2 linked regions of the Arabidopsis thaliana genome follow. The protein of the gene in region 2 interacts with the protein of the main gene of each other region in a pairwise test. Each region holds a gene or a part of one and is shown on either strand. Other genes may lie near its edges.

What was found.
Region 1: the proteins of NRPB8B (region 2) and PCFS4 interact in a two-hybrid assay, tested with the Arabidopsis thaliana proteins (one study listed by BioGRID).

The regions. Positions count from the first base shown.
Region 1 is NC_003075.7:2,470,066-2,476,774, reverse strand, and holds PCFS4 (PCF11P-similar protein 4), read right to left. Parts: upstream 4,910-6,709; 5' UTR 4,693-4,909; coding exon 4,360-4,692; intron 4,198-4,359; coding exon 4,096-4,197; intron 4,007-4,095; coding exon 3,767-4,006; intron 3,311-3,766; coding exon 2,120-3,310; intron 2,039-2,119; coding exon 1,523-2,038; intron 1,403-1,522; coding exon 1,358-1,402; 3' UTR 750-1,357; downstream 1-749.
Region 2 is NC_003074.8:22,014,326-22,019,111, reverse strand, and holds NRPB8B (RNA polymerase Rpb8), read right to left. Parts: upstream 2,737-4,786; 5' UTR 2,597-2,736; intron 2,484-2,596; coding exon 2,405-2,483; intron 2,179-2,404; coding exon 2,021-2,178; intron 1,508-2,020; coding exon 1,416-1,507; intron 1,301-1,415; coding exon 1,189-1,300; 3' UTR 751-1,188; downstream 1-750. Other genes in the region: AT3G59590 (jacalin lectin family protein), read right to left, coding at 3,344-3,622, 3,717-4,082, 4,162-4,786. UniProt on the Arabidopsis thaliana protein: DNA-dependent RNA polymerase catalyzes the transcription of DNA into RNA using the four ribonucleoside triphosphates as substrates. Component of RNA polymerase II which synthesizes mRNA precursors and many functional non-coding RNAs.

The sequences.
Region 1 (6,709 bases), on a different chromosome or scaffold from region 2:
CATCTCAAGCTGATGAAAAAAGGTAAAGTGGTTCGGGTATTGACTTCTGCTGGAAACCACGGTTTTAAATTGTCTATTTTGCGTTTCGTTGACAGTTTTTTGAACACCTTTTGGGTTTCCCCTTTTTGCGTTCTCCGACCCAAGTTGTCAGTTTCTTTGTTGTTTTGTATTGTAAGCCCTTTTGTTGCACTTGACAGATATGGAGTTAAAATCTTTGTTATTAGTACACTACTAGTTTCTGTTAGCTCTCTCTTATCCCATTCAACCAACGGTCCAATTTTCTAACAAAGGCAAAATAAAAGGGCAATGATGTGTGTTCTTAACCTGATCTTTTGTTCTAGCTTAGTTCATATTGCATATTGCAAGCTGTTTTCTTATATTCATACTATAATAGACTATTTTCACAATGTATATAACAAACATGAATTTTACTCCAGCCATTACATCTATTGATCATCACATACTCTTGTTTAGAGACTAACGGTTGAGACAAAGCCAGATTTGAACTGAGTTTGCTCTGCAGTCCTATAAGGTACTACCAGAACTAAATCATAACCTTTAAATCTTTATAATTCCATATTTCAAATGTAACAGTCATGAAAAAACTCTAGTTTGATCGAGCAAAAAGCCAAGTAAGTTCGAAAGCTTTAACTATCGTTCAATCTACTTCGACATAAATCCGGCTCTGTATCATGTAGGTATGAAGATACAAGTAGTGGAAATTTCAAAAGCAAAAGGTTCAGATAGAAGAAAAGTAAAACTTGTTTCATTATAGACAAAGTCAAGAGAACAAATACGCTTAAAGAGAGTTATGTTAACTAACATTTTTAGCTAACAGCCTAACATAGAAAGGTAAAACTCAGACAGGGAAAGCTCTAAAGAAGAAACCTGAAACTGGTTCTCTTAGCAACAGCATCTATGAGATCCATTCATCATAAGAAATCTGTTCACATTCGAATATCAGTCTTCTCGGGCTTTCCCTGCAATATCTAAAGATGAAAAAGAAAAAGACAATCCGAAACAGAGACATTGTATTCCATTTACATGGGGAAACTACTGTTGCGACATCTGATTTTACTACTACAAGCACCCCAGGTTAGGTGTAGCAGAGAATGCAGAACAGTTACACGATATCCATGTCCTAAGGCACAACAGGAATTTAGAGGCATAAAGAATGATAATATATGTGGGTGTAAACCTCTTTTTTTCAATGGTACAGTTTTAGGAGAAAGAAGACTCTCTCCATCATTTCTCTTCATTGGTGGTATTCTGTGACTAAGTGCATATAGATGATGAAGAAATAAGAATGTAACTTAAATGTAGTCAAGAAAAAGACCTAAAATTCGGTCTAAGGGATCTAACTCCGCATCTTTTTCCTCTGACTACCCTCTTCCATATCACCCTGAAAAAGCCATGATCGGGAAATCAAGAGGTCGTCACTGGATAAATGTCTAGCAGCGAAAATGAAAATGGATTCAACTAGACACAAATGAAGCTAATGAAAATGCATGGAATGGCTTACCCCATTGGACTCTGGCCTGCACTTTGCATGCACTATAGGACCTAACTGAGACTTGTCCATATCTGTTGTTGATTCTTCAGGAGCATTCATGTATACCGCACCTTTGTACATCCATTCCTCGGTTTCATCACTATAAAAGTCTTCAAATGGCTCACCACATAATGCACATGAAGTTTGGTCTTCATCTGCAGGAACTGCCATATCTTCGTCATCCTTCTTTTCTGTTGTTGGCTCCGTGGGCAAGAACCCTGGTACTGCTTCAGCTCCAAGTGCTTCTGCACCACTGAGCCACATGCTAGCACTTACAAACCATTTCCGAGAAGGGTTCTGCTTATGGTTCTTGGACATCCTGTTCTTGGTTACATGCCAATCCATGTGCTTACTGTGCTCTTCTTGGCACTTGAAGCGTAGACCACAGGTTGTGCATTGCCTCGGGAGATCCCCATATAAAGCACTGATTGCAGACTCATTACGTATCTTGAGCATGTCTGCATCAAACTCCAACCCCAATGGTCCCTGAATATATAAACCAACAATTCAAGATAAAGCAATAACTAAGAACAAACCGACTCTCAAGGACATGATTTGAATAATTACCTGACCAGCAGGCTGATTGTTCAATGAGATCAAACCTTGAGCCATGAGAGAGCCAATCAGACCAGAGAATGCGCCACCTGGTGGTTGATTAGAGGCTCCTATCTGAGATAAAACTCCTGAAGAAAGAGGATGCATGGCTTCCCCACCTTGGATTGATAAAGATGGTCTAATGGTTGACCCATGTGGAGGGTACCCATGACTTACGTGGGTTAACAACGATTGCATTGGCCTTGGAGCCATAGCAGATGAGGATGGCAAATAATTAACTAGCATCTGATTCTGTTGAGTCATATCATTAAGATGACTCTGAGAGACCTGGTTTTCGGGCCTATATAAAGGCTTACCTTGCAAGCGATTTGACATCGCATTACCGGGATTTGCCAAATGATGCAAATGAGCAGAAGGTACAGGGAGAGAGTTGGGTCCTCTAGCACTCAAATGGGGCCATGTCCCATCAGGAAGAGCCCGGCCAAAACGTGAGTTAACATCTTGAATGCTATCAAATGGAGGAGCCCCGAATTCACTGTTTGATGAAACTAACCCTACAGATGAAGCCAATACTTTCAAGTCTTTTCCTGCTCTTGTATCAACACGGTTGGATGTATGTGGATAATTTTGTGACAAACTCCAATTTTCTCGTAGCTGATGACTTACACCATTCTTAATGTCAGAATCTAAATGAAAATCACTTGTGTTTCCTACTCTGGGTCTTGCCCTTACACTTCCTAATGCTGGTACAGATGATCGCAAAAATTCACCAGCTCTGCTACGATCTAGGGTAGGGCTCATATCTTCCCAATCAAACTCTTCTTCCTCAGTGTTCTGCCATGGTGTAACCATCTTACTGTGCATGCCATTCATATCGCGAATTGGTTTATTGATCGTTACGTGTTTGCTGGTGTCAACTCCATATGCATCTATCAACGCTCTAGGTCTTTCGTGATCATTTCCTTGGCCTAAGTTTTCCTTTCTTCGCCATTCCATATGTTCATCATCTCTGCTAGTAGCTCGACCCATTCCATAGTTAAAAGCTTGATTAGAAGGATTAGCTCCATCATTAGACCTCCTGGTAAAACCATCTGGTGTACTAGACAGTGAAGATGGGCTCTCTAACTGATCTTCGAAATCATTATACCCACCGAGTGAATTTTGGCCATAAACTCTTGCACTGGAATTAATTCCTCTCAAATTCTGCATGTCAAGCAAGAGCAATTAAGGAAATATGCATCTCAGGTATAGTCACTCTTTGAAAAAAAACATATAAAAACAGTTCCAAACGACACATGATGCATAAACAGTGATCTACTGTACTATAACCAAAAAAAAACCCTCTACATGTGCTAACAAGATCATTTCTAATGTACCAGAGTCCCAGTGACCTACTCATCATGTATAACTGAGAGAGGCCATAACAACAACTCCCTTCCAGTCAAGATTGATTACTTGAAGAATGTAAACATCTATCTCGTCTAACTAACAAAACTTTAAAGAAATACAATGGATAAGACCACTATGAGGCCAAACTAATCTAATACCCGTTTTACTTAGTACACTTATATAAAATTAACACACCATAGCTTCAAGGTTGCAGATGCACCTAAAAAAAGAATGTCATCTCTGTTCATAATGACAAAGAGAAAGGCTTACATTTTCGGCGGCTGAGGGCTCCAGCCTGCGAAGATATTTTGGATTAACATGTATACCTCTCGTTGGTTGACTAGGCTCAGAAGCCCCTACGGAAGATTGGTTTGCTGCAGATGAAAGTTGCAATTGCATATCAATCTTGCGTAGTACAGGTGGTGGAAAAACACTCGACCAAGTCCCAAACAGGTGACGCATTGACGGATGTAAACTCGGATGTGCTTGCCTATATGCAAGGCAGAAGACCTAAAGCAGAATAGGATCAAAACAGCTCATGGGTATGCTTCAGCCCTATTCAAATCATTTAAGTAAACATCTTCTTGTAGACTGCTCACCTCGGGTAGACGGGATGAGAAATAGCGACCATAATCCCGCCCAATGTTCTTAACAATGCTGTCTAAAAGATACAGAGATGGCAACTTTTGCTCAACAGGAGCCTGCATATATACACCCACAGGTAACTCAGAAGCAGCCATTTCACTAAACCACAAACCAAACACTAATCTCTGACAATCAAAAACCTAATTTTTTTCCCACTTCTACACTTACATACTATACAATAAGGCTAGAAAGTGGAAACAAATAAGAAGAAAGCAAACCTCAAGGATTCGAGTGCAAATAGCATTAGCGATTCCTTCACCATGTTCCCGTTGTTCACCAGCGATAATAGTGAGATCAGTGATAATAGGCTTAGAATTGAAAGTAAGCTCACCCAAAACAACCTCATAAAGCTGAACAATCTCATCCATACTCGGAGGCAAAACCTCTTCACCACCACCGAACTCATCTTCACGCTGATTAAGCAAAGCTTTAAACCGGTCTAACAACGACGGCGGTGGCGGCGGTTTCTGCGGCAACTCAACGGACATACCTTTGCGGCTGGTGCTATTAATCGAAACAAGTCTTGGATTGAGGATTTTCTCTGAGTCCATCCCCAATTCAATAGTGAAGAGTGATAATTAGTGGCAGCATAAAGGCTCTAGGGTTTCTGTTCCACCATGGAAACTCCTCGAATCGCCACCCTTGTGGGGGAAGAGAGAGATAGAGATCGATAACGGAAGTTTTTTTTTTTTTAGTGAAGAGGATTTTTTTTTCTTCTCAATTTTGTATCTCTACTTTATGCAAATCTCATTTTTGTCCCTTTTTTTTTAGAGTTATCAACTACATCCCAATTATTGTTTTTACCCGTTTTGAGTCACACAGATTTTTGACTTTTACTATGACCTCATCAATTAATCACGTTGCAATTCTCTTCTTTCCCTTATTTGAAAAGTTTGATCTTGCCTCTTGGTGACACTAAATTTAGTTTTGAGGAACTATTTCATTTCTTAGCTTATTTATCTATCTTGATAAAGTTTGAATCTATCTTGTTTTGATTCTACTCATGGACTATGAATGATTTTTTTTTTGGTAGACAATTAGATTTTATATTATTTTTGATTTTTGACAGAAATACAGAGATTAGCAAGAAGCGGATTAAAACAATCTACAAAAATAAATACAACATTACAACTCTAATTCATTCAGTTCGCTTTTATGCGTTCAAGGCTAAGTTACGAGTTGAAACACCGATTTTGAACTCGTGAAACTCGGAAATTTGTGTGGTTGTCACATGACCGAAAAAGTGGAATTCTCATGGTAGTTGCCACGAGCATATCTTCGAGAACTTGATTCAAATTGATACAGTTAAAAACACCACCATCAAACCACGTCCTTGTTACGTTTCTTTAAGTTATATTAAAAAAATGTTGGATTAGTTGTATAAAATCCTATAAGGGTTTGAGTTTATTATTACATAATTATAATTATATAGCTTCCTATTTTATAAGTTTAAATTTAATATTTGTTAGTTCCTTTGTTTTTACATTTTAAAATATAAAGTAATTGCTATTTTCAAAAATGTTAATTAATTAGATGCTAAATATGTTAATTATTGATGTGGCAGCTCCCGATTGGTTGTTTTCAAAAATGTTAATTAATTAGATACTAAATATGTTAATTATTTATGTGGCAACTCCCGATTAGTCGTTCTAAATCCTAGGTTATGAATCCACGCTACGCATGGGTCTATTTGTAAAACTTTTTAATATTTTTTTGTGTGAATAAAATTATTATAGAAATTTTTTAAAAGATATGTTTTTATATGTCTACTTGTTGTTAATATTATAAACTCTTTGAATTTTAAAATTACCATGACAATAGTTACAATTTAAATACAAAACTAAAAATAACTTTAATACAACTTTTAGGTTTACAACATTTATCAAAAGAACATTTTTTTGGCTCATGACTCTCTCTTTAGCTTTAGATATTTAGGATCACGACGTCTTTTTATGTATGAAATAAATTGTTTTATGGAAAATAACTTCGACGACTTTCTCATTTTGAAATCCGTAAATTTACTATTCTTTTTTGTTTATCTTCGCTGCATTAGTTAGTATAGCTCGTCTAAAAATAAGATATTATATAGAAGTATATTCATAAGCTTATCTATACTTTACTTTAACAACTCATATTTTCTCACATTCTTTTCAATATGTATATGAATTTCTGTCTTCACAATTTTTTTACAAAGAGCTATCACTCTCCCTATCTTTTTGCAAGCACTCGTTTTATTTGTTTCATTTTTTCTTACAGTGTCTCTTTCCATCCTCTTATGATTTTGTTTAAGCAATATGTGTCATACCTTCTAAACTTTTCACATGTTCCATATTTTTTCTTCGAAAATCTCTTTCTTCTCTAGTTAGTACTAGGGCGAAACCCGAACCAAATCGCGGGCTTTTTTTATTAAAAAATGTAATTTTGTTAAGTTGTATGTAGGTATTGAATGTTATTTGTCATGATTCATGATATATGTAGAACAAAAGAATTCATTAGAAAGTGATTAAGAGCTCAATGCATTTGTTAATTTTTTAAAGTAAGATCTATATAGCTTTTATAAGTTTTGGA
Region 2 (4,786 bases):
ATTATATAATAATTTAAATAGAAAGTATATTATTTGATTATGAAATGAAGTAAAGTAACTTTAGTCATGGAATAAGTATGAAATCTAGCACTGACAGAAGACTTTCTCTCAGAAAATGTAGGGATAAAAGCAGGACAGCAAAATAGTTACGGAGAAAATGTAAGAGGCTGCAACTTTCACATGTATCCTATGATGATTAGTCCGGTCTTGATGATAATTTTGGACATGCAAAAAGAAGAATCAGTTACGTGTATCGTTCTAGTTTAAATCAATAAATTTGTGAATTGTGTTCTACGAACGTTTTGATGATTTTCTTTATAATCCAAAATCGTACACCCAATATGAACCTAAATGCCGCAAGTGATCACAATTCACAAATTGCTAACCACTTTTCAGAAGCACATATATAGCGGATCAGAGGAGCCACGGATCTTCTTCTTTCAGGGTGGTTACCTAGAAGATCACAAAACAAACGGTATCATAGAAAGCTTGATACATTGTTAAGTCAACCAAAGCCATTTTTGATTCCATGAGTTTGACAATCTACTTGATGCAGATCAAGCAAAGAATGGAGAAGAAGACGGACACATGAGAGCCAATGGCATTAGTATAAGCTGCAGAGAAAGCATTGCAGTTGAGAGGCAATAATCATAACTCACTCACTAAATCAAACAGCTGCAAAATCAGGATCCGAGTATTTCCTCAGCCATGCTTATCATGGTTTGGAGGTAAACAGCGATAATACGCATGAGCCTCATACAGTTGGGAGAAGTGGGAAGGCGTCTGGATACAAGCATGAGTAACAACAACTCCAAAAACTTCACTATCACAAAGAAAAATTCCTGCTACGCCAGAAACTGACTTTTTTGTTTTATTGGCTTAGTGTTATTGTTCAAAGAGAGAATATTACTAAACACATGTGAGAGTGTTGTTAGAAAAGAAACAATTTTTTTGTCTCTGTTTGTTTTATAACTTATTGGCCTCAAGTGGTTATCATCATTCATCAACAGCTCTGAGCTACAAGCATAATTCAATTGGACAGTTAAATATTGGATGTACAAGAGTTGCTTCATGAAAATAGTATTTATAATAGCAAAGTTTAACATAAGATAAAGCTTTTATAAGAAAGCTCTCTGTTAATTCGGTTTTTATGCGAATATTCTCGGAAAGTGATTAGACAATGGCATCTCAAAGCTTCCTCATGAGTAGAAAGAGCCTCTGGTCAAGTTCGAAGTGAGAAATATGAGCTGGATCTCCCTGAAGCAACATCAGGAGCCCCCCGAACGAAACATATAACTCTCTGCAAACACATAATTGCAAGATAGAAACCGAAGCATGATGGTTAGATCTGTAAGTTAAATTGGATCTCTTTGGGAAAAAATGATTTTGTTGGTCTAGGTATATGGGATTCTTACGCTTTTGGAGTTTTGCCGTCACGCTCAGAGATCTTGTAAAGCTTCCCGTGCATGATGTATTCATACTTATCTGCAAGTGTTTTCTTTGCTCCCTGTAACAAAGCGAGATGGAAACTAGATTAGATTAGCTAACAACAATCTTGGTTTCATGATTCAAGAGTCAAGACACTAAGTCTTGCTCAAATTCCACATGTTTACTCTTATTCCTAGATAGGCTTCCTGAATCAAGCCAAAGCAATTGTTCTATTAAGCAATTAGATCAAATCCTAATACATGTTCTTGTAATAGAGCGACATGGAAACTAAATGAATGTTCAAATTATCAAAGAAAACAGTCTTGGTTTTCAAAGATAGGTTTTAATTCAATATTCAAGAGACTAAGTATTGCTCAAGTTTTCATATGATTAGTCTTATTCCTATCTCCTGAATCAAGCCAGTGGAATTAGTCATATCGAGCAATTAGCACTTAATGGTATGCCCCAACCAAAACCTTAAGAAAAGTTAACTGGCCTAACTTACTGTAACCATTCATGAGATTTATCCAAGCAAGTAAAAAAGAGTATGCAATATACACCAAAAATCTAACATAGAAAAAGCATGCAGTACCGGAGTAAAGTATCCGGTATCAGGAGTTCCATCGAGATTAAGCGTGGGAGCCATAGCCAGCGTGAACTTATCACCAACAGCCAATGGATAAACCTCAGTGTTAACATCTAAATGCATAAACATTTCCAAGTTGTGGCTCCTTGCTTCAACACGCGTAACTGTGTTACCACAAACACACAGAGACGCAATCAATTTGAAGTCAGAACAAACAAACTTTAGGAGGCTTAAAATTTTAAAAGTTGAGATCTTTTTCACACTAACTTGGATTCCAATTTATCTAAAACTTAAAACAAACACAAGAAACTAGGATTCATATCAGAAACTCGATTTAAGCCATGACAAGCATTACAAATCGTGACTGAGGTTAAAAAAAAAAGTAGATACCTTTATCGAACTTTTTGCCATCAGGGTCTAGCTTATCGACCACGAAGATATCCTCGAACATGATAATATTGCTCGCCATCTACAAACACGGAGATTCAAACCCTAAACACTCTTAATTTCATGAAAATAATCCGATTCGACTGGCATAAAACAACTATATGAGCATCTGGAGAAATCGAAAAGCTGAATTACCTTCAAAGGAGATAGAAAAGACGATTTTTTTCACCAGCTCCGGAGGCTCAAGAGGCAGAGAGAGGAACGGCGGCGAGAAGAGTGTTAAGGAGGGGCAGAGAAGAAGAGAAGCGAGAGAGAAAGGATTTTTTGTTTTTTACTTTTTCATATTATTACATATATTCCTTGTAGTTTGGTTTATTTACATATTTTCCTTATATTTTTACTTATTACAGAAAATACCCTATAGATTTGTGTTTTTCCGAGACATTCCATGTATATTTTGTTGTTTATTACATATGTTGCATTAAAGGAGAGATCAGAAGTTTGAAATATTGGAGTAGGTGCATGGTTTGCTGAGTATGAGCAATAGTTAAACACTAGTTGGTTTGCAAACTGATTTCAATCGAGCGAGAAAAATTGTTGGAAGGTGAGAAAGTATCTCTTCCTCCAATTCCCACGGCTGGTTCTCTGGTTGCATCATATATTTTTAATGGACACGGTCGAAAAGAAAAAAAAGAGTTTATAGATGGATTTGTATAGCAGCGTTGTTGTTTGCTTGCCTTGTCGGTTTAGGGTTTCAGAAAGAAGGATTGGAAAACCCTATTTCCCATTTTACTCATAAGTCCAACTTTTTTTATTAGGCTTTTGCGAACCCAATAAAAAACACGGCCAGTAATATTCCCATTTTACTCAATCGTGCATGTTCAAGAAAAACGATCATATTCATATCCAAAAAAGAATTATTACTTTTTATTGGCATGATTATTAATAATTAAAAACTGGTGAATGGTTAGGAAACGAATAATATAGAGGGGGTGGAGAGAAGTGGACGCCGAGAGCAGTGAGGTGGACACCAGAGCTTCTTCCGTAAAACCCGATGGCCTTGGAGCCTCGTTCTCCTCGAAGCGAGAAGGGCGTCCCGTTCAAGCGTCCGTACTGTGGCATCATGTCTCCCTTGCGCATCCGAAATGTAATGGAGGTGATATGGCTTTCAGTGTAGGTCCCCTCGACGGCTTCAATGTAGTCGCCTCCAGCGATCATAATCTATGCAAGAAATCCATATGATATGTATGATAAAACTATATATAAGTTAGAAACTAATAAATTAAGAAGTAAGAAATCTCATCACGTCACGTACTTCGTCGTCTGGATTATGTGTTGTCGCATTTCCATGACCTGCTCCGGCTTCAATCCGGTTATATTTGGAGTAGTGAAACTTGACAAAGACCGTGTCAAAATCATTTACTCCTACATTTATTTTCTTCACATTGTGGAAGATGCCGTCGTCCCACTCGTTTCCTCCATCGCTCGCTTGTATTCCTCTAGGGGGTGTGAAGCGGGACTCAACCTGCTGCGTTTTACTTCTATTGCTCATCGTGAACGTTGGAACTGGGACCAAACTAGGAACATAGGTACGGTGATGACGAGTAGGATACTCAACCAAATCGTTTATTATAATTTCATGGAACTTATCTCCCTTGGCAATATAAATGCAAGCCTTTTCCTTCTTGTTCAAACAACACAAATGCGAGACTGAGGGTTTTATCGTCGATGAAGTAACTTGGCGGATCATAGCTTATTACTCTTAAACTCGACCATTTAGGAACTGACACTTTCATCAAGTTCATCCACTCCACAGCCTTTCCATTCTCAATTTTAATCTCTTTTTTTGTTACCCAAATCTCTATATTCCTTGTCTCATAGTTTTGCTCTAAATACGAAAATCGATCTCCCCTAAAAACTGCAAGGGACCTAGCATTGCTTGGATCACATTTTTTATTAGGCAAGAGACAATAGGGTTCAAATTTCTCCGTAGAAAAATCAAAGCTTTGAATAAACTGGTCATCAGACGCCATATGGAAAGCAACCCAATACAAAGCTCCATTCAATGATACACTATAGGACGACATAAAATCCCAATCATATGCAAACTCGTACGGTTTCGAAATCCATGCATCGGATACAAACTCGGTGATACTAGCTTTCACGGTTGTATCGCTATAGGGGCAAGACTCAAAGATCTTGTAATGATTTTCGGGTCTAGAATTGTCGTATCCCACCCCATTGTAACGATAATTCACTTTGGATTTGATCCATCTAATCTGTCTCAACAATGGGTTGCATATCCCAATCCCGTTCTCGGTAGCATAAACCACTAACCCGTCGCAATATTCGACCGTCATGAAGAAACCATTATAACCGGGAATA